Drosophila melanogaster: one gene and its partners. The protein of the gene in region 1 purifies or fractionates together with the protein of each later gene. This does not show direct contact. Each region holds a gene or a part of one and is shown on either strand. Other genes may lie near its edges.

What was found.
Region 2: the proteins of Hexim (region 1) and CycT purify together in Drosophila melanogaster (affinity purification with western blotting, with the first as the bait; one study listed by BioGRID). This does not show direct contact.
Region 3: the proteins of Hexim (region 1) and PIP4K purify together in Drosophila melanogaster (affinity purification with mass spectrometry, with the first as the bait; one large-scale study listed by BioGRID). This does not show direct contact.

Annotation. Positions count from the first base shown.
Region 1 is NT_033777.3:14,657,137-14,662,472, forward strand, and holds Hexim (hexamethylene bisacetamide inducible), read left to right. Parts: upstream 1-2,301; 5' UTR 2,302-2,424; coding exon 2,425-2,479; intron 2,480-2,607; coding exon 2,608-3,174; intron 3,175-3,238; coding exon 3,239-3,699; 3' UTR 3,700-4,041; downstream 4,042-5,336. Other genes in the region: CG3505 (uncharacterized protein), read left to right, coding at 362-419, 508-686, 1,124-1,271, 1,344-2,041; Rad17, read right to left, coding at 4,207-4,667, 4,726-5,180, 5,267-5,336.
Region 2 is NT_037436.4:17,550,961-17,560,211, reverse strand, and holds CycT (cyclin T), read left to right. Parts: upstream 1-2,423; 5' UTR 2,424-3,139; coding exon 3,140-3,716; intron 3,717-3,792; coding exon 3,793-3,838; exon of another isoform or gene 3,839-4,069; intron 4,070-4,380; exon of another isoform or gene 4,381-4,681; coding exon 4,682-5,277; intron 5,278-5,333; coding exon 5,334-7,408; 3' UTR 7,409-9,208; downstream 9,209-9,251. UniProt on the Drosophila melanogaster protein: Regulatory subunit of the cyclin-dependent kinase pair (CDK9/cyclin T) complex, also called positive transcription elongation factor B (P-TEFb), which is proposed to facilitate the transition from abortive to production elongation by phosphorylating the CTD (carboxy-terminal domain) of the large subunit of RNA polymerase II (RNAP II).
Region 3 is NC_004353.4:1,191,091-1,199,381, reverse strand, and holds PIP4K (phosphatidylinositol 5-phosphate 4-kinase), read left to right. Parts: upstream 1-2,533; 5' UTR 2,534-2,674; intron 2,675-2,904; 5' UTR 2,905-2,924; coding exon 2,925-3,062; intron 3,063-3,119; coding exon 3,120-3,217; intron 3,218-3,290; coding exon 3,291-3,540; intron 3,541-3,591; coding exon 3,592-3,722; intron 3,723-3,785; coding exon 3,786-3,954; intron 3,955-5,522; coding exon 5,523-5,674; intron 5,675-5,727; coding exon 5,728-5,822; intron 5,823-6,396; exon of another isoform or gene 6,397-6,611; coding exon 6,612-6,676; exon of another isoform or gene 6,677-6,729; coding exon 6,730-6,846; 3' UTR 6,847-6,963; downstream 6,964-8,291. Other genes in the region: CG33521 (uncharacterized protein), read right to left, coding at 7,023-7,025, 7,076-7,157, 7,220-7,362.

The sequences.
Region 1 (5,336 bases):
TCGGCATTCGAATTTCTAACGTCTCCAAATGGGAGACTTTTAAAATCACGATCAGTATATCAGTATTAGCTTGTGAGCTTATTCCACAAATAAAATATTAATTACTAGATCTCATCTAAGCGTAACACGCTGAAATCTCGACAACTCATTGTAAGTGAATATGCCGTAGTGCAGGGCATTAAAAGCTCTACAAAGCCCCCCAGTTACACAACTACGATTATGTTATCTGAACCCGGTCCGAAAGCGACTCTCTGGTAATTCACAGGCACCGGCCGAACTTAATGTTAATCTCAGACTCAGCTTCGATCGCAGTCTCATTCGTTCCGCTCAGCTGTATCGTATCTGATCGATCCGGTCCGGCATGGGAAGTTTTCCAGCTCTACTTGTTGTTGTCGGCTCGCTGGCATTGGGCGCGAATGGTGAGTGTGTACGGAATACGGGATCGTAAACAAGTCTGGCTGTGAACTTAAGTTAACGTGGGACGATCCCCGATCTCCGATATTCCAGCTCAACTCCCGCCCATCAATTGTGTTGCAAAAATTCCGAGTGGCCGTGTCACCGGTCACTGCATTTCGATCCGGGAGTGTGACTACTTCATGAGAATCCTGCTATCCGGCAATCTCAGCCAGAGCGATCGCAACCTGCTCCGTGATAATCAGTGCGGAGTGCGGGGCAACGACGTCCAGGTGGGTGATTCACCACAGTATCTCTCCCTACCCAATTGAACTCGAACTTCCACAACTTGATCCATTAAGCGCTACTAAATAAAACAAGCTCGATTATATTGGGCCTGTTCTGGTTTTCACTTTCACTGCCCAGCTTCATTTTTTTGGAATTTTATAAACGCTTGCGTTCTTATCATTTTCTACAGATAAGAACTTGTAAACGATTTGAATAGGGAAATACACCACATTTTGATAATACGAATGGTTTCAAATGAGATATCATTCTCCTTTTAAATATTTTAATTACTTCCATTGTTAATGTTAAGGAAACTTTTTGTAAAAATAAGTGACCTCAAACTGTATCATAAAAAAAAACTCGTTATTCGAGTACGCTTTTGGGAGTTCCTCGTAAAAGAGATATACTTTATAATATAATGATAAAGCCACTGTTTTTCTAGGTATGCTGTCCTAGTACCGCCGGCTTGGGTGCCCTGACCCACCCACTTTTGCCCTCGGATTGCGGAAAGGTTCGTTGGCAGCGTTCGAATGACACAGATACGCGAATCCGGGAGTTTCCCTGGCTGGCCCTCATTGAGTATACGCGCGGTGAGTTGCCGGTTTTGGTAATATATGTATATGTAGGTCACAGTATTAATCCCCACCTTTTTTACTCCGCAGGCAACCAGGAGAAGATCCATGCGTGTGGCGGTGTGCTTATCAGTGATCGGTATGTGCTAACTGCTGCCCATTGTGTGGCCCAGGCGGCGACTAGCAATCTGCAGATTACTGCTGTCCGGTTGGGTGAATGGGACACTAGCACGAATCCCGACTGTCAGTACCATGAGGATAGTAAAGTGGCGGATTGCGCGCCTCCCTACCAGGACATAGCCATCGAGGAGTTGCTTCCACATCCGCTCTACAATCGCACCGACAGGACGCAGATCAACGACATTGCCCTCGTCCGACTGGCAAGTCCTGCCAAGCTCAACGACTTTGTGCAACCCATTTGCCTGCCCAACAAGCAGCTGCGAGCGGACGAGCTGGAGGACCTGGTCACCGAGGTGGCCGGATGGCAGGCTAGTTCCTCGCAAAGGATGCGAAAAGGTTATGTGACCATTAGTTCGATTGAGGAGTGTCAAAGGAAGTACGCCAGCCAGCAGTTGCGCATCCAAGCCTCGAAGCTCTGTGGCCTGACCAATTCCCAGGAGTGCTACGGCAACGCTGGTGGACCACTGATGCTGTTCAAGAACGATGGCTATCTGCTCGGTGGACTGGTGTCGTTCGGACCCGTTCCCTGCCCCAATCCCGACTGGCCGGATGTCTACACCAGGGTGGCGTCCTACATCGATTGGATTCACGACAGTCTCAAAGCATAGATTGAAGTAAATACTTGGTACAACAAAATGTTCAGTAAAACAAACTAAAATAATAACTAAATCTTTTGATTCAGAAACAATATTTCAATAACTTACCTTGTGGGTAACAAAGTAGAAAGATTGTCTTTAAAATATGGAGATTTTCTTATTTATTTTGAAATTGGCGCCTAATATTATTCAATGTGATAGCAATTGGGGTATTTTTGGTCGCGTTAGGCGGAGAACTTTATGTGGGACTCCGGCGTCAGCACCTGGTTACACTTCAATCGAGTTTTAGTTCGCTTAGTATAAAAATCGCAAACCTACAAATCGGCAACAAATCTCCAGTTATAGCTTAAAGTGTTAATTAAGTGCTTAATAAATTAAGTATTTGTGTTGGCAACATGGCTGAAGCTGTAAAAAATGGTAAAAATCGTCACTCGGGGAGCGCTGAAAAAGGCAAGCGACAAATGGCGACTGTCTTATTGGATTGTTTTTTTCTTTCCTTTGCCCCTGCAGTGGGCAGAGTTGCATTTTCGAGTATTTTGGCGGTTCAAATTTGAATTTGGTCCTCTTGCTCTTTCCAGAAAGTGGCTCCCAACAACGACCTTTGGATAGCGGCGGAGGAGGGGGCGCCAGTGGCGGAGGCGGTGTCGCTGTAGGAGGCGGCTCGGGAATGCCGAAGAGGAAACATCGGCGGGGAAAAAAATCCAAGATGCAGCCCAAGAAGACCAAGAACCATTATCCGCAGTGGAAACTCGATATGTCAACGGGTGCAGGAGCAACGCTGGAGGGGAATCAACGACAGAATAGCAGAACCAAGCTGGTTCGTTCGCGCTCCTTGCTCGTTCCGTACAACACGAACCGCTTCCTAATGGAGGAACACATGTCGGAGCTGCACAAAGATGACTCCGACGACAACTGTTTTGGCTCCCAGACCGAAGATCAGGTGCTCTTCCTTTCCAAGGAGTTCTCCGATGTCTACGAGCGAGCGCGGCTCGAACGTTTGGAGACGATGAGCAAGCAGGAGCTCATCCAGGAGTGCATGCAAATCGAAGATCGATATTCGAAGGCCCAGAACATATCCAAGGAGTTTGGAGCCAAATTACGAGCGCAGGATGATAAGATTCGCCAACTATCACGTGAGAATCAATGTATGCGATGTCTTTAATAATTTGAAAAACCAGGAAAATTTATAACTTGTGCCTTTTATTCCAGTTCTGCGCACCCACCTCTTGCGCACGTGTTCCGCGACAGCTGGACCAGCGGCAGCAGCAGCGGCCGCAGCTTCCCCGCCCTCAGCGGTGGCGCCCACTCCCAGTTCAGCTTGCGAGCTGCAGGCTAGACAACAGCCTCCCCAGCAGCCACAACCCACACCCATGGACTCCACCAGCGAGGACAGCGAAAGCGACAGCAGCAGCACCACGTCGAGCACCACGTCCACCACTTCCTCGACCAGCAGCGATGGTCACGAAATGGGCGTGGCCGGCCTGAACATAGCCAATGGGCATGCCGAGCGGCACGAGAGGAGCCGCACCCGCTCCAGGTCTAGATCACCGATCCACCTGAATGGTCATGCCAACGAGGAGGAGCGTCAGCGCCTGCTAGATGGAAATCAAATGGAGGAGGACGACAACTCCAGCGATGTATCCAGGCCAGCCGATGCAGTTGTCAAATAGAATAAAATAGAAGAGTATGTCACTCCGCCGTGTGTAAATAAAAGACTCAATTGTGGTAGAATGTGGCGATAAATGGACATAATCCTTGTTTAGTTTTTAAGTCATCTGTGGACGCCTAAATTGTGAGGAGTTCCTTTCAATCATCAAATAGCTCATCAAAAAGCATTCATCAGAAAGAATTAGCATTACTTTATTATCTGCAAACGACGCCTCCCAATTGTATTTTTGTTGGTCTGTATGGTGTATAGTTTAGCGGTGTTGCCTCGAAGTGTTGATTTTAATGGAACTTTGTATAATGAAAAATCGATTTGTAGATAAATAAAGAGTTAAAACATGAATTCGAATAACTACCGCTATTCATTTTCTTACGGTGGGATGCGCAGTACATTTAATTTATATAATAAACTGGGTTTTGCGATTGTTAGATATCATATTTGGTCCTAGGGACATTTTTTAAAAACTTCCTTGCTACTTTAGTTTTAACATCAGATAAATAGTTTTGATTTACTAAAAGTCTTGTTTTGAGTCTGTGCTTTGGCTTGAAGTAGTATCCACAGGCTTGCCTGCTATTAACTTAACTAATGAGCTGTACTCCGTGGCGTAGAGCGTCCTGGCAATGCCCGCGTAGCCCACACCCACCAGTCTTTGTTCGGCCAAAGTTGCCTGTGGCTGTATATTGATTCGCTTGGGTCCTCGAACAGGCATCCATCCGCTGACAGGGCACGTATTGGACATCATAACTCCTCGTATGGCAACGTTTAAGCCCATCACAGACAAATTATCATCTCTGTACTCGTTGAGCATGCAATCTGATAGGCCCAAGTCATTTATGGCGGTCACGACATCATCGATTTCCTTAAAATGCGGCAGATAGTTGGCATATACAAAATTCACAAAATTCCTGGGCTCTGTATTAAAGGCTTCGGTTATTTCCTCCGGGCTGTGTAACATAGTTTTGTCCTCATTAACTGATGAGATCCAAGATTTGAATGAGTATTTTTACAGAGAATGTTTCGTGGGACTTACACTTAGGATTTAATACTCTTCCAAGTGCGTGCATCAGAGTAATTGATTCATCTCTACCAATTGACTTTAAAGTACTTTGCATTTTCTTCTTACGACCTTTTGCGGACACACTGACATTTAGCTGTTTGGTCGGCATGCTGGAAACTCCCTTTAAAGAGCTCAAATGTAAATTAATTAACGCATTTCTTATGTCGCCCTGGGCACCGACAACTATTGAGTCAACAACAGCGGTCGAGGGCACCTTGTAAGTAGCTTTATTCTGCTGCATTACGGAGCAGAAGGTTTTCATTGACTTTTGCATGATTGTAGATGCAATAGCATTGAAACTGATGTGCTCGATGCGATGTTTGGCCTTCAGTTGGTCTGGAAAGAGGCGGTAGCTGATATTCAATCCTCGAGATTTGGCATCGGCAACGATGAACACCAGGGGAGATTTGCCATACGCCGTGTACTCTCTGAAATGGAAGGAAATGAGGGTTTATTAAATTATGTTGAATCTTATAGTTGGTGTTCAATTCCATAGTCCACCGGTTTTACCTACTCTAGTAACTCTTCAAAGTTGACCTCCTTATCGCTGAGCAGGACGTTGGGAAAGTCCTCGACAAGAAGCA
Region 2 (9,251 bases), on another chromosome or scaffold:
TTGTAAACAATTTTTTATGATTATTTTTTATTTTTTAAATAAAATTATTATTTCAATTTGTGCATGCGTTTTATTTACACATTCGCAAACCAAACACACCAAAAAAAAAACAAACCAATATAAAAACCGAATGAAATATAGAACGTAAGCAAAGATATGATACAAATATATGGAACCCGCTACAAATTTGGAATCTAGATATACCTCCCATGAAAAGTACATAATGTTGCATAAGTTACAATATATTCAAAGTCTATATAGGATAGTCGAGATTCGGATTGACGATATTTGAAGTCGAGATCACATATTTTAGATAAAGTCCAGTCGGTGTATTTTGTAGTTCTAAGACACCATTTCACGAGGTCTCAGTTTATGAGGTTTCCCCCAGATCATGGATTTATATGTATGTCTATTTATTGGCGTAGATCACCGCATCTACCATTATTACCTAGCGTAAATCAGTTATTAGTTGTTAGGGAATGAATATTTAAATGTTATAAGACCTTAGATATAAGCACACCCACAACAAGAGCAGCATCGAACCAGATATGCAAAAATCACGAGTCGAGTACAACGAAATCGGTAAACAAGAATCTGAGCCACAACCCGGATAATGCAGCTTTAAATCGAGATAGTACATTTAAATTTCAATCTCCTATTTCCCAGAGAGCTCTCCTTTCACTTCGATAGCCTAAATCAGTTGGAGACTCCAACCCGAAAGCATTTATACATGCTAAGCACGATAATTGTACATATACAACTTCTGGACCTCATGACTCCACTCGATTATAAACGTATTTTATATGTATACACCAATTATTTGTTAGATTGGATAACCCCGAATGGCTGGATAAGACCAACTAAATTATATGCAATAGAATATCGATGCCGTTGGGCAAGATTTCTATGCTAGGCTAAGGCTAAGACAAGATATCTTTCTATTGGTAACTCAAAAACGAAACGAACTATATAGCTTTTAAATGGAAACGTGCGATTATTCAAAGGTATTCTATGCCGCCTGAGAATAGTAGAGATATGGATTGGCCTAGATTTAGACGAATATGTTGAATGCATTAACATTAGATACGATTAGTTTTTGACTTACTAACCTAAGTTAAGTTTTTAGACTGTTTATTTCACTTTTTGTTCAATCTTTGTACATTTGACAGACACATTTTAAAAATGTCTGCGATGAGAAATCAGCTAAAGCCAGCCACAATATATATAATATATATATATATACTTTAATGCTTATGTAGTAAGGAAACGAACGTTGGATCGAAGTCATGGTATGTAGGTGAATTTTATGGTTAGAGGCAAGCGCAAGCGAACGGATTAGATTAATTTTTATAAGAATGCATTAAGAAAAACGAAGCAAGTAACAGTCACAAGCTAGCATAATTATTTACTGTTATGACGACATAAGAGTTTTAAGGTTTTTAGCTAAATTTTGTATATTTTAATCTACAAACTATAAATATATATTATCTGTTTTATAAATAACAATAAAAAATTCATATGTGTTTTTATGACAGATTTCAAATGGGTAGAGCATCGCTCTCAAAATGTATAGCCATTTTGAGCTGTACAGGAATTCGGAATGTCTTTTTTACTACTAGTATTATTTCTTATGATTCGGTCGGTTATGGCTTATACGCATAGACCAATAACTCTACATATCCCCACCCACAGAAAGAAGTCACAAAATCTGGGAGGCCAATTACAGGTCCAAAACGTTAGATTAGTCGGTCACCATTAAATCGATTGTGGCACGAGCTGTGTGACATATTGCGTCCTCTTTTTGGAACCACAGGTCCTGGACATCATGGTTGTTCGATTCAGGAATGAAAATGTTGGTAACAATAGCCCTATACCGATCGTCATTTACTGTAACGTACTGGCCATCGTCGGCTTTGAAGAAGTACGGACCAATGATTCCACCAGCCCATAAAGTTTTTCTGGATGTAACGGTGTTTGAGGATTGGCTTCAACCGAAGTGCTGGTTGTCCGACTAGGTATATAAACATATACATAACAACATTTGGATATTTTGATAAAAAAAAGTCATGCGATTAAATGAAGGTGCTCAAAGTACATATATAATATGTCCATATACATATAATAAGATATATTTAAGATGGGACTGTTCAAACATATTAAGTACAAATTCGATTCCCCCGGAATATACGTTATTTTTTAATTGAATAAGAAGGGAAAAAATGTTGACATTGTGATATTTCTACATGTGTTAGCGAAATGTAAAGTTTAAGGTAAGTTACTTAAAAATGTATTTACATTTATTTGAATATCTACCTTACGATTATTAATCGATAACATAAACAGTAGAATCAATGTTGCCATATTTTAAAAATAATATCGATAATGCGAAATAAACATCGGTTTGGAAAGCCTTATCGATCTGGCAGCCCTGCCGACGGCCATACTTGAAAATACATTTTTTTCTGCAAAGTTTGTCATTGTCACTGTGTGAATGGAATCTGTGATGTGTTGTGGAATTAAAAACGTCGAGTAAACGACCCGTAATGGTTAAAGTGCCCGGCGAAAGCAGTGCGAATAACTATGAATTGATACGAAAGTTGCATAACACGTCGCCTGGTGTCGCGGTTAGTGTGTTTTTCGTCTCGTTTCGTTTCCGCCGCAGTCGCAGTTTCCAGAAAACCTCACCACACCATACCATCTCCACCACGCACACACACACACAAACAAACACGCAGAGACGCGGCGGCGGAAAAAGTGTGCGGACCGCGGATTTAACCCCTCGTTCCAAACCCAAATTGGAGTCTCCCAAAAACAGCGAAATATCGAGTGTGGCTTAGCCGATGTGCCGTGCGATCCCCACTGCCCCTTCCGTACCGCTGCCACCCCCGCCACAGCAGCAACGCACACGGATACGGACACAGACACCAATACCAGCGCACTCAAGCACGGCCGACAAAGAAAGAGCGCTCTCCCTTCCTCTTCGTACAGTTAGTTCCTACAGCTGAATCAGCCAAAAGGGAATTACTAGGTCCATTCCGAGGCGCAGTTTGCATGTGAAACGGAGGTCCCCGCATAACCACGCGGAACCCGAAATCCCAGATCCCCATCTCCGCTGCACGGATAAAGGAAACATACAACCATGAGTCTCCTAGCCACGCCAATGCCCCAGGCGGCCACCGCCTCATCTTCTTCATCCGCCTCCGCGGCCGCCTCGGCCAGCGGGATTCCAATCACCGCCAACAACAACCTGCCTTTCGAGAAGGACAAGATCTGGTACTTCAGCAACGATCAGCTGGCCAATTCGCCAAGCAGAAGATGCGGCATCAAGGGCGACGATGAGCTGCAGTACCGCCAGATGACCGCCTATCTGATACAGGAAATGGGTCAGCGTCTGCAGGTGTCCCAACTGTGCATCAACACGGCCATTGTGTACATGCATCGGTTCTACGCCTTTCACTCCTTCACCCACTTTCATCGCAACTCCATGGCGTCGGCGAGCCTCTTCTTGGCCGCCAAGGTAGAAGAGCAACCGCGGAAGCTGGAGCATGTTATTCGGGCCGCCAACAAGTGCCTGCCGCCGACCACCGAGCAGAATTACGCCGAACTCGCCCAGGAGCTTGTGTTCAACGAGAACGTGCTCCTGCAGACGCTGGGCTTCGATGTGGCCATCGATCATCCGCACACGCATGTGGTGCGCACCTGCCAGCTGGTCAAAGGTATGCACCCACCATCCGACCCAAGCCATGTCCCCTTCACATGTCAGATGGTACTGATTACTGTGGTATATTTTAGCATGCAAGGATCTGGCGCAGACATCGTACTTCTTGGCCTCGAACAGGTATGGCTAGCAATGCGCTACTCTATGGTGTAATCCCTCCTAGAGATCGCCCCCAACGCAAATACGGCTGTGGTATAAGCAATGTGTGTGTGTGTGCGGGTGTGGTGTTGGCCCAATCCTCCCCAGAAAGTGGTCAGGCTGTAGAGAGTTCGATCCCTGACTTTTTGTGGCTAAAATCTTTGGGCAGTTCTTTTACCTGCTTAATTCCTCGCTTATAGCTAACAAACCCAGGTATGTGAGTCGAAACAAAAAAAAAAAGTGACGACCCCAAGTCACAAATCGAACAAGAACACGCGGTCCCTAATCGCAGCAGGACGTCTGTACAAATATCGCATCTTAGCAAAAAGGCAGTATTTTCCGTGTCCCTCGCGGTAATTATCCTCAGTTGCCTGCAATAACATTGTAATTTGTGTCGGAAAATCCGCCAAATGTCAAGAATAAGACTAATTCCTAGAAAGAGTCGTTAATTCCTAGAAAAAGATATTTGAAGAATTGTAATGATAACCATTGTAATCCTTTGGCATACTAAAACATCTGGAAAAAAGATAAATTCAGTTTGGCATACCTGCCTACCTAAAACATAGTCAAAATTCTGATTACATGAGGAGAGCTCATTGGGAAAATTTGCGCATTTCGAAATATCGGCAAACGTTTTAGAATAATTCTTTTAAGTTTAAGATCCCCAAGAAATAAAAGAGACTCGCTAAGAACATGCTAAGAACTAAAGACGTAATCTGTATTATAAGTGATGAAATCCCCCTGCACACACTCACCGAACTACATTTATATGTGATATTCTTGCAAAAGATTTCCCACTAAATTGACTTAACCATCCTGGCACAGCCTGCATCTGACCTCGATGTGCCTCCAATATCGCCCCACGGTCGTAGCCTGTTTCTGCATTTACCTAGCCTGCAAGTGGTCCCGATGGGAGATCCCCCAGTCGACCGAGGGCAAACACTGGTTCTACTATGTGGACAAGACGGTCTCGCTGGATTTGCTAAAGCAGCTGACAGATGAGTTCATCGCTATCTATGAGAAGAGCCCGGCCCGTCTGAAGTCTAAGCTTAACTCGATCAAGGCGATCGCCCAGGGAGCCAGCAATCGGACAGCTAACAGCAAGGACAAACCAAAGGAGGACTGGAAGATCACCGAGATGATGAAGGGCTACCACTCAAACATCACGACACCACCAGAGCTGTTAAACGGCAACGACAGCCGGGATCGGGACCGAGATCGTGAACGGGAGAGAGAGCGGGAACGGGATCCGTCGTCACTACTGCCGCCACCGGCTATGGTGCCGCAGCAAAGACGACAGGATGGTGGCCATCAGCGCTCGTCCTCAGTGAGCGGAGTGCCAGGCAGCAGCTCTTCGTCGTCTTCCTCCAGTCACAAGATGCCAAATTACCCTGGTGGCATGCCGCCCGACGCTCATACGGGTAAGTATTTCAACAACTGCAAAAAGAATCACATTTTTAACATCTTCGTATTGAAGATCACAAGTCAAAGCAGCCGGGCTATAACAATCGAATGCCCTCAAGTCACCAGCGTAGTAGTAGCAGTGGACTCGGTTCCTCGGGAAGTGGCAGCCAGCGCAGCAGCTCATCCTCGTCGTCTTCAAGCCAGCAGCCTGGCCGACCGTCTATGCCCGTGGACTATCACAAATCCTCTCGCGGCATGCCGCCGGTAGGCGTGGGCATGCCACCTCACGGCAGCCACAAGATGACTTCGGGCTCCAAGCCCCAGCAGCCGCAGCAGCAGCCGGTCCCACATCCATCCGCCTCTAATTCCTCTGCATCGGGCATGTCCTCCAAGGATAAATCCCAGAGCAACAAAATGTATCCGAACGCACCGCCGCCATACAGTAATAGTGCCCCTCAAAACCCGCTGATGTCGCGTGGTGGATATCCAGGCGCTAGCAATGGATCCCAGCCCCCGCCTCCCGCCGGATACGGCGGCCATCGCAGCAAATCCGGCTCCACCGTCCATGGCATGCCGCCTTTCGAGCAGCAATTGCCCTATTCCCAGAGCCAGAGCTACGGCCACATGCAGCAGCAGCCAGTGCCTCAGTCTCAGCAGCAACAGATGCCTCCGGAGGCATCCCAGCACTCGTTGCAGTCCAAGAACTCGCTCTTCAGTCCAGAGTGGCCAGACATTAAAAAGGAGCCCATGTCGCAGTCGCAACCACAGCCTTTTAACGGTTTGCTACCCCCTCCTGCGCCTCCCGGCCACGATTACAAGCTAAATAGCCATCCGCGCGACAAAGAAAGTCCCAAGAAAGAGCGACTAACGCCAACCAAAAAGGATAAGCACCGTCCTGTCATGCCCCCAGTGGGCAGTGGGAACAGTTCCTCCGGCTCGGGATCATCAAAGCCGATGCTACCGCCTCACAAGAAGCAGATACCCCATGGCGGGGACCTGTTGACCAATCCTGGAGAGAGTGGAAGCCTAAAACGGCCCAACGAGATCTCGGGAAGTCAGTATGGACTAAATAAGCTGGATGAAATAGATAACAGTAATATGCCTCGAGAAAAGCTTCGCAAGCTGGACACTACAACTGGACTACCAACTTATCCGAATTATGAGGAGAAACACACGCCTCTGAATATGTCCAACGGAATCGAGACAACGCCGGATCTGGTGCGCAGTTTGCTAAAGGAGAGTCTGTGTCCATCGAACGCTTCGCTCCTGAAACCGGATGCCTTGACTATGCCTGGCCTGAAACCACCGGCCGAACTGCTTGAGCCCATGCCCGCACCAGCGACAATCAAGAAAGAACAGGGAATAACTCCGATGACCAGTTTGGCTAGTGGGCCCGCACCCATGGATTTGGAAGTACCCACTAAACAGGCCGGAGAGATTAAGGAGGAAAGCAGCAGCAAGTCCGAAAAGAAAAAGAAGAAGGATAAACACAAACACAAGGAGAAGGACAAGTCCAAGGACAAGACGGAAAAGGAGGAGCGTAAGAAGCACAAGAAGGACAAGCAGAAGGATCGTAGCGGCAGCGGTGGCAGCAAGGACAGTTCTCTTCCCAATGAGCCTCTGAAGATGGTTATCAAGAATCCCAACGGCAGCCTGCAGGCCGGTGCGTCAGCTCCCATTAAACTTAAGATCAGCAAAAATAAGGTTGAACCCAATAACTACTCTGCAGCGGCGGGTCTGCCTGGCGCAATCGGATATGGCTTGCCTCCAACTACGGCTACCACCACATCCGCTTCGATCGGAGCAGCTGCTCCTGTTCTGCCTCCTTATGGTGCCGGCGGTGGTGGCTACAGCTCATCGGGCGGCAGCAGTTCCGGTGGCAGCAGCAAGAAAAAGCACAGCGATCGTGACCGCGACAAGGAGAGCAAAAAGAATAAGAGCCAAGACTACGCGAAGTACAATGGCGCTGGTGGCGGCATCTTTAATCCCCTTGGCGGTGCTGGCGCCGCACCCAATATGTCTGGAGGAATGGGCGCCCCCATGTCTACTGCTGTACCACCATCCATGCTGTTGGCGCCCACCGGTGCAGTACCACCCTCTGCCGCTGGGCTGGCACCGCCTCCCATGCCCGTCTACAACAAGAAGTAGTGGTAGCGGTCAGAGGGTTATTCTTAAGTCGTACGTTTTGATATATGTATAGAACCTCAGTAAGTCCGATTGTAGTATAGTTGTTAGGATTGTTAGTGAGATGCATTATTGATTTTAGTTAAGCACATAGATAAAACTCCAAATTGGAAGTGAAACCGGATGCGCAGATCGAAGAAGAGTGGAAGTAGATGTCGCGATGGGGCTGGACGTAAAAGCAGTACTCAAATCGCGAAAACTTTTGTACAGCATTAATTAATTTATAACTATAATAAATAGCATACATATAAGCCCACATACATAAAAATACGGAATAGTTTTAAGCGAATTGTTGGCAAACGGAATCAGAGACCCAAGCAGAAAATTCACAGAGAGCAGCAATGGCCGTCTAGCGTTTAAGTTAGCAAATCAAATACCCGTTTCACACACTCTAACCTGTATATAGCCACTCTCACAAACACACAATCAAGAGATATATAGTACAGACTTCCGCTTAGCAAATATACTAAATACGGCCCCAACTAAATGCAAGCCAGAGAGATAGAAAGAGTAAGAACTTCAAAATAATCCCCACAGAGGAGCATATAGTTGTGGCAGAGGATAGGAGAGTAAATGGAAAGCCAGCGCTTTGATTCAAAATTGAAGACGCCAAACCACATAATGAATTATTTAATTAATACATAGTTGCTAATCCGAAAATGAATGAAGATGTTTATTTTTAGTTAGCAAAGTTTTCCCTTCCTTTCTGAACGATTGCCCGATTACTAACCGTGTTTCAATATAGTTTTCGACACCTAGCAATATATACAGTAGTGTATTTACACTTTTCAATGAAGATAAGTAAAAAGATCGGATTGTTTCAGCGGATGATATTATGTTTCAAGATCGCCTGGAACGTTGACGTAGCTTTCATTTGTTTTAATTTATTTTTTAAATAGCATTACAAAACAAATTACCACAACAAAAAAAAAACCAAAACAAAAACAAATAATAAAGTCCCAAAACAAAAACGGAATATGCAAACAAAAAAGAAACCCAAAACTAAATTTTGGATAAAACAAAAGTTGTTGTGCAAGAAAACAAAAAGTTTTAAAATTATGTAAATGCAAGCGAAAACGTTGCAAGCAAACTAAGCTAAACGAACGAAAAACTAACAGAAGGCTAAACGAGGAGAAACAAAAGTTAGGCATATAGAAATCTAGGCATGATCTATATATTCGAGGCGAAAATGAGAATGAAATGAAATTTTATGTAATTTTCGACTAAGGCAAAGGTTAAGCGAACGTTGCGCGTTTTTCAAAACTATTCGTACTCGTATATTCGTATTCGATTTCTCTACTACTGCATTAAGCTGCAAGCATATATAGCTCTAAACACACCACACATCCATTCACACACCATCCATCCCATGCAGTCGAGAAACGTATTCTTTAAGTTGGGAACCCGAGAAACCCGTTTTTATAATCGATCGAAAGAATGCGCAATTTGCGTCTAAGATTTGGATTTCCCTTTATATACTTATTCTTGGCCCCTTTTACCACACTCCCCGCCCACGCCCATCCCCACCCCTCGCCCCTCCTAACTTAAGTTTTTGTACATACTTGGAAAGCAAATGGAAAACCCGCCGCTCGGGTGGCGGGCAAGTGTCGGGTTTCATTGGGATTGTTTGGTTGTGCGTTCGAATATGAATTCACTCGTCACTTGCACGCCCCCACGAGGGCACAAATAAAAATCTTCAAAACCCCGCAAAATTCTAAACAAAAAACTATAAAAATGCAAAAAATAAACAACAAAAAAATCAGGAAAATTAAATGATATGTGTTTTTCTTGCGGTGCTTGGGGGAAC
Region 3 (8,291 bases), on another chromosome or scaffold:
ATATAAAGCTTTTGCGCACATGCGTACATACGTATGTTCAAATGAAAAGGATGTACTTTTGATTATATATATGTATTTATTTCAGTATACATTCATATCAATACGAACATATACTGATCATTAAAATAAATATTAACATAAGCTCAGGCATTGACAACGCTGACTGTATATTAATGTGCAATATATTTACATTGCAAGATACTTACATTTCATTATGCCGTATACAGCGTGATGATGATTTCAATTCATAGAACTCCATATTCTCAGTAACATTTGGTAAGAAATCCATATTGTCGTTATCATTCAACAAGTTTATATTTAGATCAAACTCCATATCAAAGCCCAAATCGATTCCAGATTCCGTCATATTTAGGATTAAATTTTTTATACTTAGGAAATTTTATATACCCAACTAACAATATACATAGAACAATTTTTATTTTTTACTAATTATGAAGTTCACATAATTTCGCCTCAGCAGTTAAAGATTCGGAACTACTAATGAATACCTAAAGTTTCATAACACGTATAGAGCTTTTAATAGTGGTGAGAATATGACAGTAAGTGATCGCACATATATCGTGATGTTAAAAGAGCTTAGAGAACTGCCAGTATCTCAATAAAATTTTAAGATATAATTATCTTGTATTTTACTATCAATATAGTAAAAAAAATCATTCAATGTACAACGACAATTTAACTAAATATAACTAAATATATGTAATTTGCATAATTATCATATTATGAAGGAAAGAAATCAAGCTATATATAGCGGCTTCTTAGACAAAAGTGATACAACTAAAGTTTCTTTCTCCTAAAGTTTTTAAGTATTTTTACTCTTCCCCTTATTAGGATTTTCTTTTTCTTATTAGATTAATTTTAAATTTTTAAACTTATCATATTACATTTCACTTTGAAATATATAAAATATATATATTTTTAAATAAGAAAATTAAAATACAAAACAGCTATCAAATCGAAAGTTTTAAACAGAATGAAGTAGTTTGGTATGATTATTTATCCGATGTACTTCAGTTTTTTCCGACTCTACTGAAAAGGGGAAGTGTTAACCGACTCTAACACAAAAGATATTTTCAGCATTGTTTTTTCTACAAAATATTCATAAACGTTATTCATAAAACGTTAAAAATAAATATTTATTGTGCTTTTATTATTGTCAAAACATGAACAATAAAGCATGCAGCTTTATTTTCGTAATTGAATTAAGAAAGTTATCTTTGGCAAGCCGAATCGTAAAGTAACGGTGTAAACAGATTAAAAACAAATTAATAAAAACTAATGAAGTTATTCCGGCATGCTCTGGTAATGGTCATTTTTTGGATTTGGGCAAAATCTTTCGATTTCGTTTTTAGGTGCTCTGGTTTTCGCAACATTTCTGATATCGGGATGCTTCATAAACAGTAAACAGCTGTTTCAGACCATAGAGCGGCCATCTTATTCACAATTTTTTAAATTTTATAAGTATTTTTACCTTCGTACATATGACCTCTTGCCAAATCGAAAATTTTTGTTGCCGACGGCAAAATTTTGTATGGCAAATCTGAGGTGGGGTCAGAAATAATTTTTCTATAAAATATCTATGTCGCAGAATAATCTTGTGGGGTTATGTGGAGTAAACAATGGACCACTAATCTGAGGTGGGGTCAGAAATAATTTTTCTATAAAATATCTATGTCGCAGAATAATCTTGTGGGGTTATGTGGAGTAAACAATGGACCACTAAGATCTAAGATCTGTTATGGCCAAACAAAAGTGCCCGTTTTACAAATCAAAAGATCGAAAATTTTTGTAGCCGAAGGCAACATGTTGTTTGTCAAATCTGAGGTTTAATCAGAAATAAATATTTTATAAGATATCTATGTGGCAGAATGATCTTGTGGGGTGATGTGGAGTAAAGAAGGTACCACTAAGATCTGATTTGATATAAATATAGGCATTTACTTTTCATTTCGGCCAAACAAAAGTGAAAAATTCTTGCGAATTCAAAAACCGGAGCACCAATTTTTCGATTTCACATCGAAATCGTAAGATTCTTACGAATTCGAACACAGGAGCACCAGTTTTTCGATTTTAAATCGAAATCGTAAAATTCTTACGAATTCGAATACCGGAGCTTGCCCGATTATATTTTATTTTATAAATTCAATTTTTCCCGAGCGCTAATATGGCAGAGAATTTCGATCAACTCACATTTGTGTTCCACTTTAAATTTGTCTTCATATCAGAGCACGTGCTTTTGGTTTTCTAAAAACAACTCCTACAAAAACCTTTATATTTAATATACAATGCGGTTAGTCTCTTTGTTTGATCTAAATTGTTTCTCTTGAGTATTGCTTGCTATTATTAAAAGATTTTCAACTCTCTGAAGTCCTTTTAGAAGCATAGAAGTATTTAGAAGATTTAAGAGTTAAAGTATTAAATAGTTTGTGATATCAGAATTACTTTTAAGTGGAAACGGCGTTTCATAAGCCGATATAAAAAACAATAAATACATATCTGAATTTATCGATAAGGTATTTCATATTATAAATTTATGTAAACTACAAATTTGTCTGTTCAAAAGCCTGCGAGTCATTGTAAAATACAATAATCATATCTGCAAAGTAAACTAAATTTATTATGAACGCTGGGTTATTTTAGTTTTCAATAAAATGTAATACCAAAGTTCTGTTTAATGTAAATTGGTAAACAATTTACGTGCAACTCTATACATTGTATTAATCAATTTTGGGCTATATGTGTATATAGATATATAAGTGAATGTATATATTCAATGTTACAGCATGTATTATTAAAAATATTAGTTTTTTAAGTGGCTCATCAGCTCTAAATTTAACTTTGCTTAATTTGTTCAGTAATGTTAAACTATATTTTTGATTTTAGTAATTTTAGCCACCCAAAATATGGAAAAAAAGATCTCATCGTCATCCCAGCCCCGGATTTTAAAAAAGAAGCACTTCAGGGTTAAGCATCAAAAGGTTAAATTATTTAGAGCCAATGAACCAATTTTAAGTGTGTTCATGTGGGGAATAAATCACACTGTATGTAACAAATATTAAACAAGAAAGGCAAGATAAGCTAATTTGAAATATTTCCAGATTAATGAATTAAGTCACGTTAATATACCTGTAATGCTTTTGCCGGACGATTTTCGAGCTTATTCTAAAATTAAGGTGGATAATCATCTATTTAATAAGTAAGAAACCAAAACAAATACATTTTTGATATTCTCAATCGTTGGTATTTTCCTGTTATTATATCCACTACAGAGAAAACATGCCGTCACATTTCAAAGTCAAGGAATATTGCCCCCTTGTGTTTCGAAATTTACGTGAAAGATTTGGCGTTGATGATGTTGATTACCGCGAGTCCTTAACTCGATCCCAACCTATTCAAATTGATTCGTCTGGAAAATCAGGAGCGCAATTTTATCAGAGTTATGATAAGTTTTTTATAATAAAAAGTTTGACATCGGAAGAAATTGAACGAATGCACGCATTTTTAAAGCAATACCATCCGGTGAGTAAAGTATGGTTTAATTGACTAAAATATCCTTATTATAATTTTTAGTACGTTGTGGAGAGACACGGAAAAACGCTGTTACCTCAATACTTGGGAATGTATCGTATCACTGTAGAAAGCGTGCAATATTACTTCGTTGTCATGAGGAATGTTTTCAGCTCCCACTTGACAATACACAAGTATGAAATATGTTGAAAGTTACACCGATTATATGTATAGTATAACCATTATTTATTCGATAGAAAGTTTGATTTAAAAGGTAGCACCGTTGATCGGGAAGCATCAGAAAAGGAACTTGAAAAAAATTTGCCGACTTTCAAGGACAATGATTTTATAAAACAAAAAGTGAAATTAGACATTGGAAAGGAAGCTAAGGACAAACTAATGGACACGCTGAGCAACGATGTGGATGTAAGCAAAAATTTTTATTTTATTCGTATAATAATTGTTTTTATCAAAATTTAAACAAGAAAGAATGCGAGTTTCCCGACTATCAGATATCCGTTACTCAGCTAGTGGAAAGTCAAAGCGAAATTTAATTGGGGAATCAAATGAGAAACAAGGGAGAACGCTATAGTCGGGTTCCCCAACTAGTTGCCCTAATATTAACGGCATTAGATGGGAGGAGAAAAATGTGAATTGACTGGACGAAGAAGTTCGCTAGAAACTGCGACACAACTAATAAAATTAAATAAAATTTGTTATAAATGTGGGCGACAGGTGGCAATAAGTTTTTTGGCATATCAATAGAAATTTACAAGACTAAAAAAAATATGAAAAAATATAAAAACAATATTCAAAAGTTCAAATCTTCATGTCTTCATTTAATAGTTTCTGAGATCAAGGCGGTCATAAGGATTGACGTTCGGATTCAGACATTGATCCTGATCAGGAATATAGCGTCCGAAACGCTTCATATTACCTGTTATATACTTTCCAACAAATATAGTATACCAATTTACCAAAGACAATAGAATAACAAGATGCGTAACGCCATACGATTTTTTTTTGGCGTGGCTTTAGAGGTGGCTCCAGGCTCTCTCGAATTTTTGTTCAAGAGCGAGAGAGCGGAAATCTCTACAGCCAGCAGCTCTTTTCTACGCGTACCAATAGTACCAATATAGTATACCAATTTACCAAAGACTATAGAATAACAAGATGCGTAACGCCATACGATTTTTTTGGCGTGGCTTTAGAGGTGGCTCCAGGCTCTCTCGAATTTTTGTTCAAGAGCGAGAGAGCGGAAATCTCTACAGCCAGCAGCTCTTTTCTACGCGTACAGTGACAGCCGACAACTGTACGTATGCTCATGCATTGTAAATTTGACGAAATAAGCCCTTCATCTTAGAAGTTCTTAGACTTTAAATCTACATTATTTTTGATCAATTGGCACCATGTACAAATTTATTTGTTTTGAATTGCCTTAACGTTGTTTTTATTTAAATATAGCTTAGAAATAATAATAGCCTAATCTTCTATGTACATAATACCAGAAAATAAATTTCAAAAATGACTTTATATTAGAATATTTGTCATTAGAGTATTCAGCTTGCGACGACTAGACTTGTTGAATCGATCTGAAACATCGAAATTTGGGAAGCTGTAAGTGCTATAAGGAGTGCAATTAACATATCGAGGATCATCGTCTTACATATCTTGAATGTTATTAATTCATAGGGACTACAAATTTGTCGCCTTGCACATTTTATATAAATTTCAGGTCTTGAAAATCATACGAATGTGCTGCCATTTTCAAGCATATTGCGTTAAATCTAATTCATAAAAAAAAGTCCTACGAAGTGGTACTTGAAAACCATTTAATCTGAACAAATTTATCTAAAAACCTTTAAATTGTTGTAGTTTAACCTATATAACCAGTAGATATAATTATGTCTTGCATGACTTGATAATTTATTTATTTATAAATATAAATTACCAATACTTTTTGATAGCATATGGTGACATATAATTTATTTTAGCTTTTAACCAAGTTGCACATTATGGATTACTCTTTGTTGGTCGGCGTGCATGACTGTGTTCGTGCAGAGGAGGAAGCTTTGCAGGGAGATAATATACTAACTGTTGGTCGCAGTGAGAACAGCGAAAGCGAGGAATGCGATAGCGGGGAACGGTAAATAAAAATTATTTTATTTAAGCCTTAAATGTACGCAGTTCTTGTTAAAGCTGGACGTATAACACTCCTCCCGATTCTCCAAGAGGTGCACAGTATAAGGAAGTCGTTTATGAAGTTGATATATATGACATTCCAAGTATTGAAGGTAAATGTAGTTTAAAAGTTTTGTACGCAATAGCCCTGATAACTTAACAAAGAGCATTTTTATATTGGTCGTTTTTATATTTTTCAAGTTTTTGAAAATGATGCGTGCGTGCTTATGACGTAAAAAAATTGAAACAAAATTTACGTTAAAGCTCGTTTTTTTAAGATTTTACCCAAAATATTTGGAAAAACAATATATGTTGTTTTTCCATTTTATGCATGATTAAAACACCGGGGAGTACCGATTTCTGAATAGGATACTTAAACTTTCTCTTCTGATTCAGCAGTTAAGATCGTAGCTTCAATCAGACTTGGGAATCACTCTTTTAGTGGCAATCATCATAAAATTTCAGTTGCTTCAATCGTCAACTATCGTGACCATTTCGCTTCATTTGATGTGTTTCGTGCATTGCGCTTATACAAGGGGTACAATATAGTTAAGCAAAAATGTGTGATAACCTTACACCAATTTACATTACATTCAATTTATTTAAATAATTTATTAAAGAATAAATATTATTCTTTAATATATTTAATAATAAATATTATTAAGAATAAATTTATAAAGAATAAATAAATACTTTGTTCTTTGACATACAATGCAGGTAAAAACTATTTTAATAGAACCCCATTAATAAATTTAAATTTCAGTTGTTAACTAATGAGATTTCTATTACTGGTTTCTTAGTGCACATTTTAATTTTTTGGTCCAATCACTTCTACCGTTTTGCCACTAATACTACCGGTATTAAAATTAGAGAATTAATGTATATTTTGAACTGTATTGCAGAAAAACGCGAAATTTACTTTATTGCAATTATTGACGTTCTTACACAATATGGAGTAAAAAAACAGGTATTTCATTTAATACTTAAAAGAAAGGTTGTAATTTTAACAGCATATTTTAGGCAGCTAAAGCAGCCAAAACTGTTAAATATGGCAGTAATGTTGACGGTATATCAACCTGTGACCCTGAACAATATGCCAAACGATTCTTGGACTTTATGGATAAAGCTATAGAATAAAGTATTATACTCATTATGTATTTGCCACATTCAAAATGTCAAAAATGTATTTATCTAAGACATAAAATATAAGATATTATTTTGAAGCTTCCAGATGATCATCTTTTGGACGAATGCAAATATATTGCCTTAAATATCCATTTAGAAATAATTCGGATTTAGTGACCATCACGATGTTACTAGAAAAAATTGGTGAGTCGGGTAAGGATATTTATTCTACTGCACTTACAACAAAACGTTTTATTTGAGTTTTTGATGGGTTCTCCATAGCAGTTTCCGATTTTTTCATATTTTCAAAGCGTTCCCGTATTCTGAAATTAAAGGACCATTACCTTGCAAATTAGTCAAGATACATAAGTAAGTTTGATCTTACGCTTTGGCACTTTCAATAGATTCGTTTGAAATAAGCTGTGAATATACATCAATGCGACCTTCCTTTATTTCTTGTTCTATTTCGTTATTTTGCCATTTTTCAAATTTCGCTCTCAATTGCTTAGCTCGTGCAACACTTTGCGCCTAAAAAAACGAGAAGTGTATTTAATGTACTTTGTAATTACTTCTGGTAACTTAAAGCTATAAAACATTAAAGACTCTTTAGTTGTTATTGGGAGTACAGGACTTATTACACTGGCCAACTTTTTCTTGAAAAGGTAGTACCAAGATCACCGAATTAAACTTATTATGTAATAGATTTAGCGAGGAGCAGGTTCGTAGCATTCTCTTTGTCGAGGACTTCTCCTACAGCAATTACATGTAATTACAAAATTTCATCGAATCTAATTTTAAAGAACTTTGACCACAGGCAGGCTTACAATAAAAAATGTTTGGCCGTTATAGTGGGCGTACGTGGACGTTTTTGCCATATTGATATATATGTGAGATACACAATCAAAAAAAATGTATAAATGTTCGTTACTCATAGATAAAAATAATAAAAAAAAAAAACACCGAAAAAAACTGGAAATACATATAATAAACTAAAATTTACAAAAGTGTGGGTGTGGGACCGGTTTGTGGGCATGGCCAAATTAGGGCAACATGGGTCAACAAACTTGCGCTACGTCTATGTCTTTAGAATCTATTGATCCTGATCAATAATATATGTACGTTATAAGGTTGCAAACGTTTCCTTCTACCTGTTACATACTTTGAAACAAAACTAGAATACCCTTTTACTTTATGTGTAACGGGTATAGCAAGAGTTAGCATTCACTCTTTAAAAAAGATTTAAAAAAATTTTAAAATGGAAAGGTGTGGGCGTGAAAGTTTTGGGCGGGGCAAAAAGTATTTTGGTAAATTTATAGAAATTTACAAGAGCAATAAAAAATTAAAAAAGATCAAAACTTTTTGCTAAATTGTGGCCGTGGCAGTTTTGAGCAAATTGTGGGCGTAAGAGAGGGCGTGTCAAAAATTTGTTCGAAAAATCATAGAAATTTACAATACTA